Xenopus tropicalis: one gene and its partner. The protein of the gene in region 1 binds, or shares a complex with, the protein of each later gene. Links are inferred from orthologs where the notes say so. Each region holds a gene or a part of one and is shown on either strand. Other genes may lie near its edges. The genes, in order: robo3 and nell1.

Region 1 (11,696 bases):
CATATACGGGCCGATTAGCTGCCTAATCGGTCCAAGGGACCGATATCGGCAGCTACTATCGGCCCGTGTATGGGGACCTTAAGGAGACTTATTTAACCCTTTTTATAAATAAGCATGGAGTTATATGTCAACTTCTTCTATACAGAAATGCATATTGATATATGTTGTTTAAAATGCTTTAGGTCCACTATACAATTGGTTATATAGACTAGAAATTAATGCTGCAAAATAATAAAATGCTCATTAAATATGTAATGCTTTTCTACTTCATAACTGGTGAAACTCCAGCACATGACAGTTTAAAACTAAACCCTTTAAAAAATGTCAAAGGAACAGTAACACCAAAAAATGAAAGAGCTTTAAATTAATAAAAATATAATGCACTGTTGCCCTGCACTGGTAAAACTGGTGTGTTTGCTACAGTAACACTACTATAATTTATATAATAAACTGCTGTGTAGCCACGGGGGCAGCCATTCAAGCTGGAAAAAAGGAGAAAAGGCACAGGTTACATAGCAGATAACAGATAAGTTCTGTAGAACACAATAGTGTTTTATCTGTTATCTGCTATGTGCCTGTGCCTTTTCTCCTTTGAATGGCTGCCTCCATGGCTGCATAGCAGCTTATTTATATAAATTATAGTAGTCTTTCTGAAGTAAACACACAACTTTTACCAGTGCAGGGCAGCAGCACGTTATATTTTAGTTAATTTTATACACTTTCATTTTTTGGTGTTACTGTTCCTTTAAAGGCAAACTACACCACCAGAATGAATACTTAACCAACAGTTTATATTATCTTAATTATTATTGTTAAATGTTATGCATTTTTTTAGGCCTTTTTATTGTGTAGGGTACTTAGTGTATTGCAAAATTTGCAGCCACTTTGGGTTCAAAAACACTGTAAGATGTATCAAGCAAACATTCACTGCAATATGGTACTAACCTCCTTGTTTTGCTTCCCTGCGATAGTGACCTGATTTTGACTTCTTCTTTGCTCGCGATTTCTGTCCTGGAGGTGTGCTTATATTTTCTCCTAGTTGTGACTTTCCTGAAAGGATTTGCATTACATAACATTAAATCAACAATAAAAGGCAAGTATATGTTTTAGGACCACTTATTAAACAGTGAGTTACCTATTGCAATAATCTATTATCACAGTATATGTGATATACTTCGTCAAAAGTATTTAACATTTAAATAAACCTCTGGATTTCAAAGTTTTTAATTGCAATGATTGTGTACAGTATTAAGTGGCTTTGTAGCCTGGCAAGTAGACTTTTGTTAATTTACACATCCACTAAGACCACAAATAAACTATCAGCACGATGAAGGCGTAAGTGCAATACTACAACTTGTTTTGGGCAGAAAAAAAAGGATTTGGATAACAGTCCAGATAAAAAAGGCAGAAATGGGGGTAGGGGAGGGAAGACACTAGTGCATCTGAAAGAACCCAACAGACAGCTAAATATTTTAAGGAATTACAAGAAAATCCTTAATGATCCACTAATATGATCAAAAGAAGACTGATGCATTTGTTACTGAAGTATGTAACAATAAGATAATCTTACTAAAGGCAAAAAAATCCTAATCACAGAATTCCCAGCCACCATGCCCTGCCATGATGCCTACATGCCGAAGTCCTTTCACTCCACAATAGAGCACAAGGACCTGCATTTTCCAAATAAACACTACCGGTGTAGCTGGTGAAGGAATTAAATATATGGAAAAAAACTGAAAATTAATATACTAAAGTGCAGAAAAGTAGGATTGGTTCCTGAAACACAAATTTAACCACAACATTGCAGAATATACTTGATAACTGGATGATATCCTAGAAATATAGGGTGAAAGGACAGATACTTATCTCAAAACAACAAGTTTTTTTCTAATGAAAAGTTAAAAAGGAGGGACACAAGACCACTGTTTGTTAGTAAAAATGGGTTAATTTACTTCCTTTGTTTATAACTGTTCTTTGACAGGAGCATAAAATGGTGGCTGATTGGGAAACCTGGACTTCTAAGCATGTGTGCGCACAGGAGTTATGACTCCTCTACACTGATGTGTATATATGTAATTATTTATACATTTATGTCTCTACTTACCGCTGTTTGGCAAGTTGACATTTTCAGCACTTAGATTAGGATTTTGGCTTAAGTTCCGCCTGTGTCCCTGCCGTTGTGCTTCTGCACCTTCCGTTGCTGTATGAAGACTAGGATTTGATTGTGTCAGAGGAGGACTTGGAGCTCTTGGAATTGGTACCGATCCAGATGGCAGTCGTCTAATAATTTGAACAAACAAGATTGAATAAGTGAATCAATATTAGGTGTACCTATGTAACATTATAGCCCTATCACAAACAATAAACTTTAAATGTTTATCCCTTAAATAAACTGACTGTGCATCTTTTATATTAATATGTATGGTATAACTGGGGGTATGCCCAGAATAACTGGAGCTGTAAATGGAAGCCACCAAACAGGGACAACATGTAAAATTATATATATTTTCCATTTTGTAATTACAGTTTTAAAATACAGCGGTAACATTTATTTACTATGATTTTTGCTATGGGTAATGCAGTTATACACAGTGTGTGCCTATTTACATAATAGCACCAGTTTTTGTGGCAACTATTTGGTTCAATACACAAATCCTATATATTGGGATGTAAAATAGTGAAAATCTAAAGTAGCATAGTCAAGAATTGGTCGAAGCTTTAAAAACATGTCTGCACAAAGTCTGTTAATTAACCCACCTATATCATAGAATAATAATCAGTGATGCAAAAGCAAAATGTTTTCTAGTTGTTTATATATAAATATAAAATCAGACTAAGCTTTCTAACCTAGGATGAGGGGGTATCTCAAACTGATGTAGCCTTGGAATATCTTCTGCAGCATGCATCTCATCCTGGGGAGATGGTGTTAGAGTGGCTGTTGACTGCTGACCGTAAGAATGAGCAGGAGAAGAAGCCTCACCCCGAGGTGGAGGAAGTGGGCAGCCTTCTTGAATGTTTTCCATGAGGTAAGTTCTTTCAGGCAATGGTGGACACCATTCTTCTGTGTCGGAGCTATAATATACCAATAAAGGTTTAATAATGGTTTGGATGCACAGGACACCAGCAGTAACAATGCTACAGCTTTGGAATTAAATTATTTAAATATTTACTTATAGCAGCTTGCATCATAGCTGGCCCTTCTTTAATACTTAAAATTCTTCTATACACAGCTATACACTGCAAGTGAAGGACAGCTATACATTGACAGCGAAGGACAGCAATGTAAAGGAAGGGTCCAAGTGAAAGATCCACCTGCCTTAGCAATGTGCTTGCTGGAAAAGTTATCAATAAATATGTAATGCTTGAGAGAACATTAATGTGTCTAATAAATAACCATACAATATGTCAACAAAAAGTATGACTTGCATGACAACAGTTCAGATTTCCAGATACTAACTGGATTACTCATGGTCATCCATACCTCATCTCTACATCTGTATCTTCTTCTTGGTATTGACTCAGCTCATTGGCAGGCGGGGGTGGTGGAAGAATTTCTGTCCAATTTAGTGATGGTGTTTTTACTGGTTTTCCAATGGCCTTCTGCTTTCCAGATTTGGGACCTGAAAAGGCCAACATGCATATAGCTATATAACGATGAAATATTATGTTGGGCCTGATGCTAGCTAAATATCTGATACATTTCATAATTTAAAGCAAAGAAACATAACTTTAGGAATGCAATTATAACATAAAGTAATTTGTATTTTATTTAAAAATAATATCTTTTAAAAGTCCTATTCACTCTAACGAGATGCAATCAACATACCTAAGGAAAATTAATGACTGTTTTTAACTGTTTTATATAAAGGTTTACAAATAAAATGTAAGTACCATTCTCTGCTTTAGTTCGATCTGGTTGTGCATAAAGTACACCAGATGTTCCAGCCTGTACATTCCACTGGTTCTCTTCTAATTCAGGAGAATGCATGTTTTGTCCTCCATACGGTACAACAGGTGTTGTTGCATAAGGTGTAGTATGCTGAGAGAAAGCTCCATTAAAAGTTCGCATGTCATCAGTGGTTGGATCAATTGTACTGTATATGGGACCATCTGAAACACCTGTTCCGAACTTCTCAGTCTGAGCAATATAGTTTGAAATGCCAGCATCTATTCAAACCAAATCCACAACACAAGCATTAACATGGAAAACTAGTAATACACAGATTATTTCTTAAAATACTTTTACAAAATATTTGGATACTAAACTTTTATAATAAATACATTGTTAAATAGACAATTGTGATTTTAGAGGTGTCCTAAGCAGCAACTTTGGATTGAGGACAAGATCAATCCCAAATGGACTTTACATAGTTAAAACTAAATATATTCTGCAGAGCTTCTTGTTTCAAAGAATAATTTCTTAAAGAAAGTAAAATATTTATATTATGAAAGATTTGCTCCACACCTAAACTCTGTAACTGGATGAATAACTTTGTTCCTATCAGGAAGTAATGAGGTGCATAAAAATGTATCGCTTTACCATTATAATATCTCTCTGAAGGATTGTGATTTCCTGGACAACAATTCCCTGCAGGTTCTTTTGGCTTTCCGTTTCGTAGTAAGTTGGTTGCTGGCCATGAATCTGCTAGCCAAGGGTAGTTGGATGCACTTGTAGCTAGCATTCCTGGTCTGTATGGGAAATGAAACAAGTCACATTAATATTACTTAAAGCTCGAGACCTAATTGTTAACCCAGATTTTCAATATTATTCTGGTACAAAACTCAAGCAATGCAAATCTTTCTTAAAAAAGTAATGGGTGGAACAGTAAGTGCTGTTAAAGAAGCTACCATTCCATGTGGAATGAGCATCATGTGCTCATCAACTTTCAGTTACTGTATATGGATATGTAGCTAAAACATAATTAAGAAAAGTATAAACTTACTACAGGACATATAGGGGCAACATTTCATGGTCCACATGCTCTATATACTATATAATAATGAATATGTGGAGCTGTTAAAGGAATGCTGGGATGCACAGTTCTGTAACAAGTGCTGAAAATCTTTGATCTTCCCTTCAACAGGGGCACCTATGAATAATGTTTTAAGGCCTGAGCAAACAGCTTAATATGTTCCTCTTACCTTGCAGTAATATGCCCTGAGCTTTCTGGAAAAGATACTGAGAAAAGGAACAAAAAAAAATCAAAGGTTACTTTTGTAACATTATTAAAAATTAACTTCCATCTAATAAGTAGCTGAAATTAAAATATTACCTGCTGGTGTGTATGCAAAGGAAGCTAAAAATTAAAATACAAAAAAAAATGTTAGTTATAAAATTACATTTTAAAAGGGTTCATACAATTAGCCATGCCCCCTACTAAAATATAAAAGCAAAATATTTTCTGTAATTTATAAAGCTGTGCTTATTTTAATTCTTTAGGATTTCTCTAAAATAGTATACTTATTAAAGTTCAAATACAATCACTTCTTTAAATATTTGAATAAGGAGGTATCAACTGGAGATTAAATATTGTCTCCATAAGTATATGTATTTTCTGTAGAAATTTTAATTTCAATACATTTTTACTTATATGACAGTTTTTTTATAATTATAAATCCCACTAAGCAGAAACTGTGTAGTTTATACTTACATTAAGTTATGCTCTGTTTTTTTTTGTGTGCAATGGGGTATGCTGGGACAACAGCAGTATTGAAAAAGGAGTTGAGGAGAAGCATTGTGGTGTAGGTGGATGGACAAGAGGAGAAGCAATACCCTTATGGAGAAGGTGGGGTACTATGAAGCAATGGGTGGGACGGAAAGAGTTTATTGTGTAGATATTATTGAAGTATGTACTGTCGACTCCCAAGTTATGTCACCCACCAAAATGTGCCTTGATAAATTTATGGTAAATATAAATAAATATATATATATAAAATATATATATTTAATTTAAAAAAATTTAGCTTTGATGGAATACAGCATTAAAAGACCTTTCCAAATAGGCTTTCCAAAGGAAGGTGTTTGTGTTTGTTGAAGGTATTTTTTTTCTTACCAGTATAATGGCTCAGTTCTTTCCTCTTCTTCCTTCGGCAGTAGATCCAGACACTAAAGCACATTAGAATTACCCAGCATGCCCCTCCAATGCCAGCTATGAATGCAGGCTGTTTAACAACATCTGTGATTTGTTCAGTCAAGCTGACATTTTCTCCACTGGCAACTGGAACTTGATCTGAAGAAGGCTCTGAAATAGGGTGAAAATGTTTGATAAATATGCTTGCAAATAAACTATGGGACATTAATTAGACATTTCTATATTTATCTTGTTAGCAAGTGTGCTATTAATATTTTCATCTGTATTTAATCACTTAATATTTCTTTGATAAAGCTACAAATGAGTTAATTTTGGTTTTACAACATGAGTTACCATTAAGTTAAATTACATTTAAATGAAAATATGAATGCTGTCTATACATTCCAAATGAAAAAAAGCAAATCTGTTTGTTCTCACTCACTTATCTGGATGGTGATTGGTTGGCTTTTTACACCAAAACCAGCACTTGTTGCAGCAGCCACTTCCACATGGTAAAGAACTCCAGGACTAAGGCCTCTTATTACAGTGGAGTGGACAGTACCATCTACTGTTCTGTTGATATGATAGCGTGTTTCATTTCCCAAGACCCAAATCTTAAGATGAAAAAAATAAGATTAATATTGATTAATATTAGCTACTATTGCATTTAAACAATTTCACTCTCTGACATAAACTGTTTAAATGCACAACATATTAGAGTTAGTATATTAAAAGCATATGCTGTATTTATTTGATTACCATCATTTATATTATTCAGTCATTTGAATACAGTTTGACATCCGGACCACCATGAATAAAACCTTTACTAGTCTAACACAATTTGAAGACATCATATAAACATTTTACTTTTAGAGGCGGGTGTCTCTAGAAACTGAGAATATATTCCAAGCAGGCAGAATCAACATTTTTCAATCAACATTATAAGACAATAAAACAATAAACTCTCCTACAATTAAATTATTGGAAGCATTAAATCAATGTCCAAAACCAGGGCTGTGGAGTCGGAGTCGAGGGCAATTTTTGGTACCTGGAGTCGGCAAAAAATGAACCGACTCCGACTCCTACTAAATTTAAATGGGAATAAAAAAAAAAAGCAAGTTTAAATGTCCCAATTCACAAACAGTCATAATTAATTACTTCTCTGCTATAAGAATAAAGCCCAATGCACGCAGTGCATAAACGAACACATTGAGTGACCATGAAGCATTGACTGTATGCTTCACTAAATACATTAGCATATTAAAAACAGAGGAGTCGGAGTCGTGGAGTCGGAAGTATCAGAAACTGAGGAGTCAGAGTCGGAGAATTTATCTACTATCTCCACAGCCCTGTCCAAAACTTTAAGCTTGTAAAAATTTTAAATTATTTTACCCGATAATCTTGAATAATTCCATTTTGATGTTCCACTATAGGAGGTTCCCACGATATACTAATATTTGTGCTGTTATTCGTTCCTAATGTAACAACTGATACTGCTTGAGGCGGGGCACTTGGCACTGTTTGAAAATCAACAAAACATGTTAATTAATAAAGGAAAAGCAATATACAAGTACTGTGTAATATATGCAGAGAAATATCTTGATTTGTTCATTCAAGGCAAAGTAAAAGAAGCACTGTTATAAATGTTTATTAAGAGCTATGTCACACAGTGGGTCTCGTAAAAAAGCTTTTGTTTTTGTAGTGCAAGTATGAAATGATGCCATTGTATCCTATGTATACTATCACTTAAATTGACATACTAATTGTTTTATAAAATAAGCACTTCCAACATTCATAAATATATGTTTAAAGCTTATTAGAACTAAACATTTCTGATACAAGGCTTGAGTCTAATTATGCTGACATATAGGCCTATTGAAAGATACTGCAGTGAACCTTTCCAAGAATTTTTATATACTAGAATATATACATGCTAATACTTATATTAGTGTATATATACAGGTATGAGACCTATTATCCAGAATGCTCAGGACCTGGGGTTTTTCTGTAATTTAGATCTCCATACTATAAGTCAATAAAAATAATTTTAACATTAAATAAACACAATAGGATTTTGCCCCCAAGAAGGAGTAATTATATCTTAGTTGGGATCAAATACGAGGTAATGTTTTATCATTTTTAAAAATTTGAATCTTAAGAAAGGCTCTAGGCCAGAGCCAAAACGTTGATCGGATGGCAATGTGAAAATAAAGACTGAACTTTAATGAAAAAGACCCTGGAGTGCGCCTACGATGTGTCTCGAATTGTGTAATATTTCCCTGGTTGCACCCGGGCAATAATTACAGAGAAATTAATGGAGAGTTCGGAGTGCGGATCGCAATGTGGCTGTATATATATATATATATGTGTGTATCAATACAGGGTAGGACTAATTACATCACAGTGGATGTAAGGGACTATATTGGATATTTATGCCTTTCATATGTAATTGCAAAGGTGCATGGCACAAAAGACACCTAAGATATAGTTAAGCAAGTGTAAGTCATGGGGAAAGTGTCATATCGTATCTGAAAATAATACAGAGCTCTAAATTTCAATCATCTAGGGACATTTAAGCAAGTCACTTTGCTTCACTGATTGAGCTCAGAAATTCTTCTCACCCAAACCTGTCAAACTGAAAGCAATTACTATAGATTTTCCATTACAACAGAGCAAATATAGTGTTTTTCATTGGCAATTGCAGCAGAAGGACCCCATTAAATGCATCCCCAAATATATTCATAGAAAGAATGTTGGCACTAACCACATATCTCTGAAAAGAAATGTAAATTAACACACAGATTCTGTTCTTACATTCTTGTTATATATTAAGCCTGTTCTTTCAACTTTGCATGTTGCACTAAAAATACACAGCTTGGATTAACTAGATTGACCTGTTTACAACCTGTTTTTTTATATTTATTTTTATATTCTATGCTGATAAATATTTTATGCTCACTGAAAAAAATCATAGTTGAATTACAATGTTTTTATAATACAGTGTGCAAACTTTATTAACATTTAAAAGTTGGATACTTCATCAAAAGGTGTGCAAAGGTTAACTACTCACATTAAAATGTTATCCAAGAGGTTACAGCCCAGCTACATCTTGGATGGATTCTTAATGCAAAATTGTTCAGTTAGACTTTCCCTTGCTCATAAAAGTAACAGGTTCTCTTCAGACTGTCCTGGCTACTCTGTGTAAACCTGGCTTCTTCTTGTGATTGGAAAAGGGGCAATTTTTTTTATTTATTTTTTTTTGAAGAACTTACTTTACTGATATTTCATTGCTTTGTAATTTTGACAGCCCAAATGCAATAATCTGATTTTTTATACAGGCAAGATTTCTGACATAGTAGTAAGAAGGATTTAATTTATTTTACAGAAAAAGAGAATTCAGGTAAATCTGTGTTTTGATGTGCAGCAATGTGACATTCAACTGACTCAAAATCATCAAAAGATAAAAACAGTGTATAGGAAGTATAGAGAAAGGAAATATTATGCTGGCTCAGGTAATTTAACATCTGATTAAAAGTAAACAATATAAATTTTATATATTGCAGTGACAAGTTCTATTCCTAAAGGTAAAATGTTTTATCTTGCCTTCTTCCTACAGTCTCTCAGCAGCATAATCTTTCCAACCATCAAGTCGTTTCATTGTAATCTTTGACACATTCGCCAGGCTGCTTGTTACTTAAGAATGGATTATACAGACTACATCCTCTCCTGCATTCTTTGTGGCTTTATAAAACTGCATGCCTCATGAATAATGGTTTCTATAAAAGCAAGCCCTTTGTAATATTCCACAACACTTAATTGCTAAATGCACATATATTTCACAAAATTCCAGTAACAGAATGTCTACCATCCACTAATTGCCAGCATATTAGTTTTGAAGGCCTCATCTCATAATTATCAGGTAAAGTAGCAAATTTTCTTATATGGAAATACAAATGTTTTCACTGAGCAAGGCTTTTACATTCCCATTTGACTCTTTATTAATGATCAAAGGAAAAAGAGTCAAGGAGTCATTGTACATTTCTACATTTTATATACACACATATACATTTTGTATTAATATTCCTTGCTAGGCATTTTACCTTCTTCAGGTGTACGGATCAAAAGCACATCACTGTCCATGCCTTGAAATTCATCAAAATAAGGACGGATCTTGATTTCATATTCTGTGCCTTTTTTGAGGTCCACAAGGATAGTATTCCGTTCAGAGGGAGACTTCACATCCTGTACAAGCCAAACACTAGATTTTGGACGATACATCACCCGGTAACCTTGGATGAACTGAGCTTGCCGATCCACCTGAAAGAGGAGACCACATGTAATTACAAAAAATATATGGACAGATACATTTCTTTTTTTGCCATTTGTGTTGATAATAACATAGAGCTTCCCATTGCCCTAGGCTATACTACCAGCCTAAAAGAGGTAGAGAAGTTAATTGAAGCTGCAATACAACCAAAATTTTGTGTTTCCAAACCAGAAATCAACCAGCTTAACTCAGGTAGGACCCCTTACTTATTTCTAGAGGGCATTAAAAAGAATGGTTCCCCTCTGACAGAGAATAATAAATCCAAAGCAAGATTAATATAAATGCTACAAATCTCCTAGCTTATCTGATTTTCTTATAACATGAATAATTTCAAGGGAAAGGTCAGTATTAGATGGAGCAATAATTAACTAGAATTTGGCTAATTTCAATTAAAACATTGTAAGTGGTTACAAACCATTGTAAATTAAAGCATTTTAACTAATGTTCTCTAAATTAAGCGGGAAATGTTAAAGACCATTCTGACAACCAAAATGAGAAGCGATTAAATGTCAGAGAGTGGATGAAGATTTTATAGGCTTATAATTCGTTTATTCTGCAATGTAGGAGCTACTCATTATCATTTACTATATATATATATATATATAGTCAGCATACTATATATGATGGTATGCTGAAATAAATCACTGACCTGATTGATGCTGTAGCTGTGAGTGCTTTCTACTGTTGAGTTTGATATATATATAGACAGCAATGTATAATTGTATTATCGAAGATTAATTACTACTCAAACACATACTTTTGAGGGGTATTGGTAATCAGAAGCTACATTTTTGTGGGGCTCAGAAAAAAGCTAGATACAGTATCTAATTCAATTAATTCTTTATTTAATGTGAGAGGGGGGATGTTACATTATTCCTTGGCATTTGCTCTCTGATTGGCTAAACTTGGTTGCCAAAAGCAACAAGGATAGAAGTACCAGTTTCCCACGGCAACCAATATAATTTTACTATATTAATTTAAAATATCCCATTAAAATGTCTTTTGCTTAGAATTCTACATTAACAGGCACAGAAAATCAATTAACATCTTTTGTGTAATTTTAAAATCAGGGATACAAATGCAAAAAACGTGCCACTTATAATGAAAAATAAAAAAATATAACATAGTAATGGAGAGAAGGCTATGATAACATAATGGTAAATAACATTGTCTCTAGCAGCAACAGTAGCGACCAAAAAAATATTTTTTTTAGAACACAAAGGAATATTGCTGGTTCCCTACTACAACACAATATCAATTAATGTTAAGAAATAAGACATAATAAAATAAACTCAATT
Region 2 (12,278 bases), on another chromosome or scaffold:
TTCCCACCAGAGTGGAAGCAAGTCTGGGCTGTATCCCCTATAGATGGAACTGCTGGGGACCCCTTGACAGACAGAGTGGGGTTCACTTACTGACATTGGGCAAATTTGCACACATTAGTAGCCCATGGCGACAAATCATAGTTTTGCTTTCATAGCTTAAACATCAGATGGCTGAACAATGCAAATCCCTGATTGGTTGCTATGGGATACTGCAAATTTGCAGTGTTGGTAAATGAGTCTGACTAATCCCTGACTGTAGCAATGTGAAGCTGCCAGATGTGTCATAGTAACATAGTCAGTTAGGTTGAAAAAAGACACAAAGCCATCAAGTTCAACCTGATTGCCTTTATATAACCTGCCTAACTGCTAGTTGACCCAGAGGAAGGCAAAAAACCCCATTTAAAGCCTCTCTAATTTGCCGCAGAGGGGTAAAATTCCTTCCTGACCCCAAGATGGCAATCGGACCAGAACCTGGGGCAACTTGTACTAAGTACTAAGCACAGTTCAGCAGGAACAGCCCCCTAAGTTTGCCCATAGCCTGTACAGAGAGATACCATAAAACTATGGCACATAGGGATTCCCCTGTACTAAGCACAATTCAGCAGGAACAGCCCCCTAAGTTTGCTCATAGCCTGTACAGAGAGATACCATAAAACTATGGCACATAGGGATTCCCCTGTACTAAGCACAATTCAGCAGGAACAGCCCCCTAAGTTTGCTCATAGCCTGTACAGAGAGATACCATAAAACTATGGCACATAGGGATTCCCCTGTACTAAGCACAATTCAGCAGGAACAGCCCCCTAAGTTTGCTCATAGCCTGTACAGAGAGATACCATAAAACTATGGCACATAGGGATTCCCCTGTACTAAGCACAATTCAGCAGGAACAGCCCCCTAAGTTTGCTCATAGCCTGTACAGAGAGATACCATAAAACTATGGCACATAGGGATTCCCCTGTACTAAGCAAAGGAACATTTTAGACACAGAGAACTTTTATTACCCTCAGGGTGATATCTAGCCCTAAATCTGGCACGACACCAATGGTTTCGGGTAAATTCTCAGGAGGCGGCTGATGTAAGAGGCAGAAATAGAGGAATGGAGTGAAGTTGTACTTGGCCGTATATAATGGTTTCTGGGGAACTTAGAAAGAAAACCTGTCACGTCTCCATATGAGCCCGGCACAATGTACATCGCTGCAGGACATGTTCATAAATAAAAGATTGGAAGAGCGCGGGGAGCAAACAGAGGCCTCTCAGGGCACCTATCAGCGAGCGGCGCCGGTGATGTCAATACACTAATAAAATAATTACTAAATATGGGCAGAATGAATCTGTTGTCTTGGAGATGGGCTCTTTCTTCTTTGCAGATAAAATCTCCTTGTCATTGTCCTGATGTCGGGAAAGGCTTCTCCCGAGCTCGAGAAAACCAGAGAAGTCTCCTTAGGAAAAGATCGTCCTTTGTGCCTCCCGTGACATGTGTCTACTAAACGGAAAAACCAAGGGATGGGGGAAAGGATGGATAGCTGGCAGGCGCTGGGCCACTAGGGGGCGCCGGATGCTTTGGAATTTCAGAAAGAGCTTTCGCTTTTTTCACCAGACTAAGCAATATGGTAACCCCCATTTATTGATACATACACATAATTAAACATATTGCCCTTTTATTGTTTTGCAGGTTTGTAATTGCATATCACACAGAGCCAAGGGATGACCCCCCCATAGTTTGTCTAATTACATAGTAACGTAGTAAGTTAGGCTGAAAAATGACATGCGTCAAGTTCAACCTTAATGGACATAAACTAATATATGTACATAAACAAAGCACTTTGCTAGGGAATCCTGTACTGAATATTAATTCAACTCCGAGCTGTCTCTAGTCAGATGCACACAGAGGCATTAGCCCCGGGCTCTGCAGATAAAGGCAAAGAGAAGTAGTTGCCAGTAGGATAACTGGAGAACAAAGAGTATAGTAAGTAGGGCAACATGGAAACAGCATGGTAACATGGGGAGAGAAGGACAAGTTGGAGAAAGTAAGGTGAGATGTGACAATAAGAGCAAGATGGAGACTGTAGAACAACTTGGAGATAGTAGGGCAAGATGGAGACAGTAGGGAAACATGGTGACAGTAGGACAAGATGGAGACATCAGAGCAAGATGGAGACAGTAGGGCAAGATGGAGACAGTAGGGCAAGATGGAGACAGTAGGGCAAGATGGAGACAGTAGGGCAAGATGGAGACAGTAGGGCAAGATGGGGACATCAGAGCAAGATGGAGACAGTAGGACTAGATGGAGACAGTAGGGAAACATGGTGACAGTAGGGAAAGATTGGGACAGTAAGAAACAATAGGGATAGTAGGACATGATGGAAACAGAAAAGCAAGATGGAGACAGTAGGGCAAGATGGAGACAGTAGGACAAGATGGGGACAGTAGGACAAGATGGAGACAGTAGGACAAGATGGAGACATCAGAGCAAGATGGAGACAGTAGGACTAGATGGAGACAGTAGGGAAACATGGTGACAGTAGGGAAAGATTGGGACAGTAAGAAACAATAGGGATAGTAGGACATGATGGAAACAGAAAAGCAAGATGGAGACAGTAGGGCAAGATGGAGACAGTAGGACAAGATGGGGACAGTAGGACAAGATGGAGACAGTAGGACAAGATGGGGACAGTAGGGCAAGATGGAGACAGTAGGACAAGATGGGGACAGTAGGGCAAGATGGAGACAGTAGGAAAAGATGGGGACAGTAGGGCAAGATGGAGACACTAGGACAAGATGGAGACAGTAAGACAAGATGGAGACAGTAGGGCAAGATGGAGACAGTAGGACAAGATGGGGACAGTAGGGCAAGATGGAGACAGTAGGACAAGATGGAGACAGTAGGACAAGATGGGGACAGTAGGGCAAGATGGAGACAGTAGGACAAGATGGGGACAGTAGGACAAGATGGAGACAGTAGGAGAAGATGGGGACAGTAGGGCAAGATGGAGACAGTAGGACAAGATGGAGACAGTAGGACTAGATGGAGACAGTAGGAGAAGATGGGGACAGTAGGACAAGATGGAGACAGTAGGAGAAGATGGGGACAGTAGGACAAGATGGAGACAGTAGGAGAAGATGGGGACAGTAGGACAAGATGGAGACAGTAGGACAAGATGGAGACAGTAGGACAAGATGGAGACAGTAGGACAAGATGGAGACAGTAGGGCAAGATGGAGACAGTAGGACAAGATGGAGACAGTAGGAGAAGATGGAGACAGTAGGACAAGATGGAGACAGTAGGAGAAGATGGAGACAGTAGGAAAAGATGGAGACAGTAGGAAAAGATGGGGACAGTAGGACCAGTAGGACAAGATGGGGACAATAGACATGGTGGAAGTACAATTTGAAGACAAAAGGGCAAAATGAAGGCAGTAGGGAACGATGCCGATAATAAAGCAAGATGGTGTCAGGCCCTTCATTGGTTCTTGAAGTACTCGATTTTCCTATATTAGAAATATTTTCCTACAGAACTGTCTCTTCCCAGTGTTACTGAATCTACTGGATCCCCATTTGTATTGGTAACTTTCCATTTTTACCCTCTGTTGTTGGGCCCAAATGTATTTGGGACACAAAGGGACTAAAACTTCCTCTACAAGTAAATATTCAACAGTTTTGCAAGAAACATCCATCTGTGTCTGTTCCTTCAATCCCCCCAGTTTGTCTTACGAGACTATGAAAAGGGCAACATTATCCAATTTTATTATCAACCCCACTAGTGCGACCCCGACGGTGGTTTGAAAGAAGCGCTGATTGCACTTTCCCAGCAATTGCTCTGCAATCAAACCTCTCCCGGAGCGGCGACAACTTCTCATTTCAGCAACAATTGCTGCCCTAGGGGCCGAGTGAGAGAAAGGAGCCACGTTCAGCCCACAGCCCCCCAGGGCGGCGTCCTACCCCCCCATCTGTATATTTGTATTTATACATATGGGTTGGAGGTGCCATAGTGTTTCCCTTAGACAGTACAGTATGGGGGTACAGCTTATTGTGTGCCCAGAACATTCCTTCTCTGTATATTTGTATTTATACATATGGGTAGGGGGTGCCATAGTGTTTCCCTTAGACAGTACAGTATGGGGGTACAGCTTATTGTGTGCCCAGAACATTCCTTCTCTGTATATTTGTATTTATACATATGGGTAGGAGGTGCCATAGTGTTTCCCTTAGACAGTACAGTATGGGGGTACAGCTTATTGTGTGCCCAGAACATTCCTTCTCTGTATATTTGTATTTATACATATGGGTAGGAGGTGCCATAGTGTTTCCCTTAGACAGTACAGTATGGGGGTACAGCTTATTGTGTGCCCAGAACATTCCTTCTCTGTATATTTGTATTTATACATACGGGTAGGGGGTGCCATAGTGTTTCCCTTAGACAGTACAGTATGGGGGTACAGCTTATTGTGTGCCCAGAACATTCCTTCTCTGTATATTTGTATTTATACATATGGGTAGGGGGTGCCATAGTGTTTCCCTTAGACAGTACAGTATGGGGGTACAGCTTATTGTGTGCCCAGAACATTCCTTCTCTGTATATTTGTATTTATACATATGGGTAGGGGGTGCCATAGTGTTTCCCTTAGACAGTACAGTATGGGGGTACAGCTTATTGTGTGCCCAGAACATTCCTTCTCTGTATATTTGTATTTATACATATGGGTAGGGGGTGCCATAGTGTTTCCCTTAGACAGTACAGTATGGGGGTACAGCTTATTGTGTGCCCAGAACATTCCTTTACTGCAGGCCGGCACTGGGATTTAAAAAAAGCTTTTTTTGGCATTTGCCAGAACCCACAGATTGCCAGTCCGGGCCTGCTTCATTGGATCTCTTTCATAATATTGTCGCCCCCCCAGTCATATTTATCTCATCCTGACTCTTGGCTCCGCCCCTCTCTTCTTATCATTGCTTTAGATATTAGGGTGTAACACTGTCCCTATTGTTTAGCTGGTGGTTCTGAGGGTACAGACTGTATCCTGGGCCTGAGCCCGGAGCTGTCCATTCAGCACCATTCATTAACTGCCACTTATTAACTGCCACTCATTACCTGCCACTCATTAACTGCCTCCTGTGGGTCTATTGCTTTGTAGAGTAAAAAAAAAAAGTGGGATTTTGTTAAATAAAATGAGACTTTTTGTAGGATCATGTGAAACGTTAGAGGCTTAAACTGGATCTTGGCACATTGTGTTTAACCTCATCCTGCCCTGGGCCCTGTCTCCCCCCTCAGTCTCTCACTGTCACCCCAATTCAGTGCCAACCTATAAACACTTTAGGAACCCTGTCTCTCATATTAACCCCTCAGGTATCCCATAGCCATAATGACCCCAAGTCCTTAACCCTTCTCTGCCCAGAGTACTCCCCTTGCCCATTATGTGGCACCAGTTTAACTCTTGCCTGCCCTGGTGGCTCACCCTACACATTGTGTGACTGATTAACCCCTGTCTGCCCAGAGTACTCAACTTGCAAACTGTCTGACTGATTAACCCCTTTGTGCCCTGAGTATTCACCTTTCACATTGTGTAACAACTTAACTCTTGCCTGCCCTGGCTACTCCCCATAGTCTGACTGTTTAACCCCCCCCCCATCTGTGCTGAGTACTCACTCTGCCCTTTTTGTACTGCTTTTAACCCCTGCCTCCCCTCAGTACTCACCTGGCACAATGTCTGACTGATTAACCCCTGCCTCCCCTCAGTACTCACCTGGCACAATGTCTGACTGATTAACCCCTGCCTCCCCTCAGTACTCACCTGGCACAATGTCTGCCTCCCCTCAGTACTCACCTGGCACAATGTCTGCCTCCCCTCAGTACTCACCTGGCACAATGTCTGCCTCCCCTCAGTACTCACCTGGCACAATGTCTGCCTCCCCTCAGTACTCACCTGGCACAATGTCTGACTGATTAACCCTTGCCTGCCCTGAGCGCTCAGCCCGCACATTTCTTAATGTTAAACATCAGTAGGAGTTTGGAGCTTGGGGCTAAACCATTCCTGCCGGGCAGGGGGGTGATGGATGCAGAAACGGTCCGTCTGTAATAAATCCTTCCCTTTCACCTCACAGTCGCTAAGGAATCGGGGGGCCATACGGCAGGGAGCTTGTATGTAGAACTGGGTGTTTCCATCGCTGGGGAAGGGACTGTGCGATTGGCTTCGGTCTGGCTGAGCCCCCCCCGCTGCACTGGAGTGGTACGGTCGGCAGACTCTCCCAGCCGGGGAAGCTGTCCGTGTGTCAGTGAGGCTTGTGCGGGGGAACCGGGAAGTTTAGCGGCTGCCGGGGGATTATTGGGGCTCCTTCTCCGCTCACTGCGCCAATGGATGGAATGCTGGCTGTGTGGGCTTGGGTACTGACTGCCAGAGCAGGTAAGGGGCAGGGGTCGGGGGCCTCTGGGGGGACACATGGGGTCGGCGGCTCCGGTTGAGGGTACAGACTGGCACAGGGTGTAACTATAGGTGGGGGTATAACAGCGAGTGATGCTATAGCGGAGGGCAATGGGTAGTGCGGTTGCTGGGTATTGGGGAGTGGGTATTTGGGGGTACAGCAGATGGCAGTGGGTGATGTAGTAGGGTTGATGGGTATAGGGGAGTGGGTATTTGGGGGTACAGCAGATGTAGTAGGGTTGATGGGTGCTATGGCTGTGGGCATTTGGGGGTACAGCAGATGTAGTAGGGTTGATGGGTGCTATGGCTGTGGGCATTTGGGGGTACAGCAGATGTAGTAGGGTTGATGGGTGCTATGGCTGTGGGCATTTGGGGGTACAGCAGATGTAGTTGGGTTGATGGGTGCTATGGCTGTGGGCATTTGGGGGTACAGCAGATGTAGTAGGGTTGATGGGTGCCATGGCTGTGGGCATTTGGGGGTACAGCAGATGTAGTAGGGTTGATGGGTGCTATGGCTGTGGGCATTTGGGGGTACAGCAGATGTAGTAGGGTTGATGGGTGCTATGGCTCTGGGCAGTGTTGGGCTACACAATTGGGCGATGGGCTGTGACTGAGGGCAGGTAGGGGGCTGGAAGGCGCAGCAGGGAGTTATCGGTGGGATTGGGAGGTGGGTGCTGTAATATGGATTGAGATCCGCACATTGGGGAGTTATGGGTGCTATAGCAGGGGCAATGGGGGGGGGGGGGGTACAGAAGGGTATTTTGTGATGAATTGTTCTATCAGTGCTTGAATGGGAGGTATCTGTGTGTTATATCAGCATTTATTGGGTGATTGGGGGTTTAATTGCTCTAATACTGTTTATTGGCTACATAGTGTTCTGGGGGCAGTGGAGGGAACCGGAACTGTGTATGATTGGGGGGTTTAGTACAGTAACTGGGGTGGCACATGGGGCTAACTGGGCTAACTGTTGGTGGCTAGGTGGTACCTGGGGGTTAATTGTTATGTCAATATGTCTTTAGGTGGTATTGAGATTAACAATCAGATTTGGGTGGTATTGTGGGTTATTTTGTGGCAATGTGTAATTATGTGGTGGTTTGAGGCTGGTTGTTCTGTCACTGAGTGATTAGCTGGCGTTGGGGGGGCTACTCGCTGTAGCAATGTGTGATTAAGTGTTATCCCGGGGTGACAGAATGTGCAGGGGCTGTAGAACAATGTGGGATTATTTGTGGGTGCAGGGTGGCACAGGGTAAGGGGACACAGATGCAACACCAAGCTGTACTGGGTGGCACAGGGTAAGGGGACACAGATGCAACACCAAGCTGTACTGGGTGGCACAGGGTAAGGGGACACAGATGCAACACCAAGCTGTACTGGGTGGCACTGTGCGTGGCACCACACTGGGAGACAGAGGCGGGCGAGTAAATATTGCCGGGATCCTGGCACAGCTGTTGATTGCATTCAAGTGAGCATGGAAAGTGTTGCCGCTTGGCACAGGGGGAATATATGTAGAATAGGGCTGGCACTGTGTATGGGGTATTATAGCTCCGGCTGAGGGCTCAGTGGGCACCGACAGTGCCAGTGGGTACAGACAAGCCCAGCCTCGCTTTGTTAATAAACAAGACCCTGGGTCTGATCTCTCCCAGTGCCAGCTGTACGGACTATTAGCACTTACTAATTGCCCCCCATTCTCAGCCCAAGCCCGCCAGATCCCTAACACTGCAATGAAAGGTGCCCAGGTCTCTCCATCTGTAATATATTCCACCCAGAGCCTGTCACTCAGCAGAGCGGTGTAATGAGGCACTGCAGGGGCAGCCTGCCCGCCACATGCCCATAATCTTTACTGGGATTCTGCTGAAATGTCACTGGCGCTGTGATAGGGCAGCTTCCTAGCAAATGGTATCCGGGGTCTACTGGGCTTTACCTGGGGGTGAATGGGGTTAACTTGGGGCCAGGTGGCTCCATACATGGACAATGTCTAGAGAAGAAATATTTGGGTCTCTACAGGGAGACTTGGCATCAGGACCATTCCGACCCGGCAGCCTAGATCTGCTTGGACTACAGAACATCTCCACATCAGGACCAGTCAGCCCTGGAGAGGACACTGGGGGTGACTGGGCTACTGGGGGACTTAGGACCAGGCCATTCTTACCTGCAGATTGTGCCAGAAGACTCACTATTGGGGACCTTTCTTTGCTGGGACCACAGTGTGGTTTTGGGGTGCATATTGGACCAAATGATTCATTATTGGGAACTTTCTCCCCTGTATGTGGGTATATGTGACATTGGAGTGTCGGGGGTGCTGATCGGAGCAGATGTTTCAATACTGGGGCCATTCTGACCCGGATATTTGTAGATAGAGACCTAGATACTCGGACCGGGTGATTCGGTATTGGGACCTTTCCCACTTGGGTGTCTAGGGGCAAGAGGGGGGCATTTTGATGTCTGAACTGCAAGTTAGGTCTGAATCAGAACCATTCTAAACTGGCGCTCTGCAGAGGAATCATGTTATCGAATGGGTCAGATGATTTATTAATTGGGTCCGTCCTTACATGGAAATCTGGGGAGAGATTAGTGGGGTTTCTGCATTGCAGACAGTAGTAAGTCCAGCCTGTGTTTGTAGAAGAAATATTGGGGTGACTATGGAAAGGGAAGACAGTTCAGGAATCTTGGGGTGCTCAGGCTACACCCCAATGTGTATGGAACCCTATATTACCCTACAGCTTGCATGTCGCCTATGGAGCTCATTAAATAACAGGGACATCAGGGTTCACTTTCCCGGCGCAGTAGAATTCCATTGTATTGGGGGGAATAAAAACTGTTGTTTTATACATGACATTCTCTTCGCTGCTTTTTCTCGGAATATAATCGTTTGCTGAACTTCTGCGGCTGAGGGAACTTTCCTCCTGGCGCAGCAGCCAAGGGGTTAATGTTGGCTAAGCGGATTACAAACAAACCCCCCCCCCAAGCCCCCTAGTCGTACAGCCTGCCTGTCAAAAGGAATTGCAACTTGCTAACCAGATTTGCTGAAATAACAGCATTAATCGCATCTATCTGTGGGTGGCCTCCTTGTATCGCTATTTCCCTTTATCCCAGACATTTTCCCTTTATACTTATATATATATATATATTTATATATTGTGAGGCTTCAGGAACTGGCGCTTTCTTTCCTTCTCTGCATGAAAGAGTGTGAGCCTTGTCGCCGGCCGCTGCCCGTCCCTGGGATTCCATGAAGGGGTTAAAAGGTGGCAATTTTTTTTATTTTTACCCCCTGCTTGAGAGCTAAGGAGGTGGGTGCTGCCAGACAGCCGCAGGCCTCGTTTTCTTCCCCAGTCTTTGAGGCTATCATGCTCGGCCGACTCCCACCCTCCATAGAATCCCCCCTTCCCCAGCAATTTTTGTGATTAGCCACGGAGGGTCCAACAAGGGAGAGTCACTCGCCATTAATATTTAATGCAATTTCACTCTGGGGGCTTGTAGATATATATTCACAGAGCTCGATTAGCAGCGTGACGTGACTGCCGAATTACATCATACGGGGGGTTATCACCGGGGTGAACCCCCATCTGTGTTTGTGATTGCTAAACTGCATCTCCCAGCAAGAGCCAAGAATCAGAGGTTCTTTTAGATTTGCCTCCTACTCTGCCGGTTGCAATGAACAGAGTGATGCCTATTCCACTCATATATATTGATGTGCTAGTTAAATATTTAATATTGGCTTTGTTAGGTACAAACAAATCCACACCTAAAACACATAGCAAATACATTGCCCCCCTACTGTATATTATAAGGATATTAGAAGTCACTGAGGGGTTCTGTGCCCATATAAAGGCACAAGGCTGCAGGCTGAGTTATACAGGGAACTCTGAGTATCACTCATGTATTATAAGGGATACTGTACCCCCTACTGTAAATGATAAGGATATTAGCAGTCACTGAGGGGTTCTGTGCCCCCCATATAAAGGCACAAGGCTGCAGGCTGAGTTATACAGAGAACTCTGAGTATCACTCATGTATTATAAGGGATACTGTACCCCCTACTGTAAATGATAAGGATATTAGCAGTCACTGAGGGGTTCTGTGCCCCCCATATAAAGGCACAAGGCTGCAGGCTGAGTTATACAGGGAACTCTGAGTATCACTCATGTATTATAAGGGATAATGTACCCCCTACTGTAAATGATAAGGATATTAGCAGTCACTGAGGGGTTCTGTGCCCCCCATATAAAGGCACAAGGCTGCAGGCTGAGTTATACAGGGAACTCTGAGTATCACTCATGTATTATAAGGGATAATGTACCCCCTACTGTAAATGATAAGGATATTAGCAGTCACTGAGGGGTTCTGTGCCCCCCATATAAAGGCACAAGGCTGCAGGCTGAGTTATACAGGGAACTCTGAGTATCACTCATGTATTATAAGGGATAATGTACCCCCTACTGTAAATGATAAGGATATTAGCAGTCACTGAGGGGTTCTGTGCCCCCCATATAAAGGCACAAGGCTGCAGGCTGAGTTATACAGGGAACTCTGAGTATCACTCATGTATTATAAGGGATAATGTACCCCCTACTGTAAATGATAAGGATATTAGCAGTCACTGAGGGGTTCTGTGCCCCCCATATAAAGGCACAAGGCTGCAGGCTGAGTTATACAGGGAACTCTGAGTATCACTCATGTATTATAAGGGATAATGTACCCCCTACTGTAAATGATAAGGATATTAGCAGTCACTGAGGGGTTTTGTGCCCCCCATATAAAGGCACAAGGCTGCAGGCTGAGTTATACAGGGAACTCTGAGTATCACTCATGTATTATAAGGGATAATGTACCCCCTACTGTAAATGATAAGGATATTAGCAGTCACTGAGGGGTTCTGTGCCCCCCATATAAAGGCACAAGGCTGCAGGCTGAGTTATACAGGGAACTCTGAGTATCACTCATGTATTATAAGGGATAATGTACCCCCTACTGTAAATGATAAGGATATTAGCAGTCACTGAGGGGTTCTGTGCCCCCCATATAAAGGCACAAGGCTGCAGGCTGAGTTATACAGGGAACTCTGAGTATCACTCATGTATTATAAGGGATAATATAATAAGTTATAATGGTATCGCTAGGTGGGCACCACTGGGTGACAAATACAATTAAGGTTGAAATCTAAATGTAAAATGCAAAAACAAAAAGACAAAAAGGGACATCTCCCCCCAGAATTATCTCTTTGATTATTTCATTTGTGGAGTGAGATTGGTTTGTTGATATTTTCTGGGTCTCATGAATTTTAATGCCCCTGAAATGACATTGTTCCTATTTTCAGGCGTTCGCCCCGTAATCGAGAGCAGCTCTCGAGCGAAACTGTGTCATCCTGCGCGTTACAGGGAAGCGGCGCCTTGTTCATATTTAATGCCGTGCGTCGGCCAAGCAGGAATTCTCCTCTCGGAATATGAATGTTGGCAATCCTTCCGAACCCTTCATCTGACACAGGGATTAATATTCACTATAAATACCTCACTGGGTATATGTGCCGCTTGCAAGCACTTTCATGTAGTGCCAAGGCCTCTTTACTGGTGCGGGGGCCTAGAACCCAGTCAGAACTGTCTAACCAGCTGTCTCTATCATCTCCTGGTGTCTCACTCTTGCTCACCTGGGCCCTTCTTGTCCTGCTGTCTCTGTTGTTTTCCATCTGTCTCCATAATGCCCCAGGGCATCGGTTTTGCCCTATTGTCTTCATTTTACTGAATTGCCCTCTTGCCATACCCTCTTCATTTTGCCTTACTGTCTCAGTCTTATTCTACTGTCCCAATTGCCCTAGGGTTTCATAATGGAAGCCCTGCTGTAACCATCTTGCCCTACTGTCCCACTTGC

Evidence for each region.
Region 2: the proteins of robo3 (region 1) and nell1 are in contact, whole or in part, in a crystal structure (PDB 6POL), measured with the Homo sapiens proteins. The link is inferred for Xenopus tropicalis from reciprocal best matches to the Homo sapiens genes ROBO3 and NELL1. Residues at the interface, in NP_071765.2 of Homo sapiens: Ser553, Pro555, Val590, Glu592, Phe594, Pro596, Asn600, Thr601, Trp602, Thr604, Ile624, Leu626, Arg630, Gly633, Ala634, Trp635, Gly636, Leu637, Ser638, Glu639, Pro646, Val647, Arg648; in NP_006148.2 of Homo sapiens: Ala440, Lys441, Met442, His443, Tyr444, His446, Tyr458, Arg468, Val469, Asp470, Asp471, Phe472, Ser473, Asp478, Ile492, Cys493, Thr494, Asn495, Thr503, Cys504, Lys505, Pro506.

Annotation. Positions count from the first base shown.
Region 1 is NC_030683.2:75,089,899-75,101,594, forward strand, and holds part of robo3 (roundabout homolog 3), read right to left. Parts: intron 10,389-11,696; coding exon 10,172-10,388; intron 7,589-10,171; coding exon 7,464-7,588; intron 6,686-7,463; coding exon 6,514-6,685; intron 6,243-6,513; coding exon 6,054-6,242; intron 5,298-6,053; coding exon 5,274-5,297; intron 5,180-5,273; coding exon 5,143-5,179; intron 4,690-5,142; coding exon 4,541-4,689; intron 4,168-4,540; coding exon 3,892-4,167; intron 3,621-3,891; coding exon 3,482-3,620; intron 3,073-3,481; coding exon 2,848-3,072; intron 2,281-2,847; coding exon 2,105-2,280; intron 1,051-2,104; coding exon 946-1,050; intron 1-945. UniProt on the Homo sapiens protein: Receptor involved in axon guidance during development. Acts as a multifunctional regulator of pathfinding that simultaneously mediates NELL2 repulsion, inhibits SLIT repulsion, and facilitates Netrin-1/NTN1 attraction.
Region 2 is NC_030680.2:4,705,622-4,717,899, forward strand, and holds the start of nell1 (protein kinase C-binding protein NELL1), read left to right. Parts: upstream 1-6,249; 5' UTR 6,250-6,349; coding exon 6,350-6,398; intron 6,399-12,278. UniProt on the Homo sapiens protein: Plays a role in the control of cell growth and differentiation. Promotes osteoblast cell differentiation and terminal mineralization.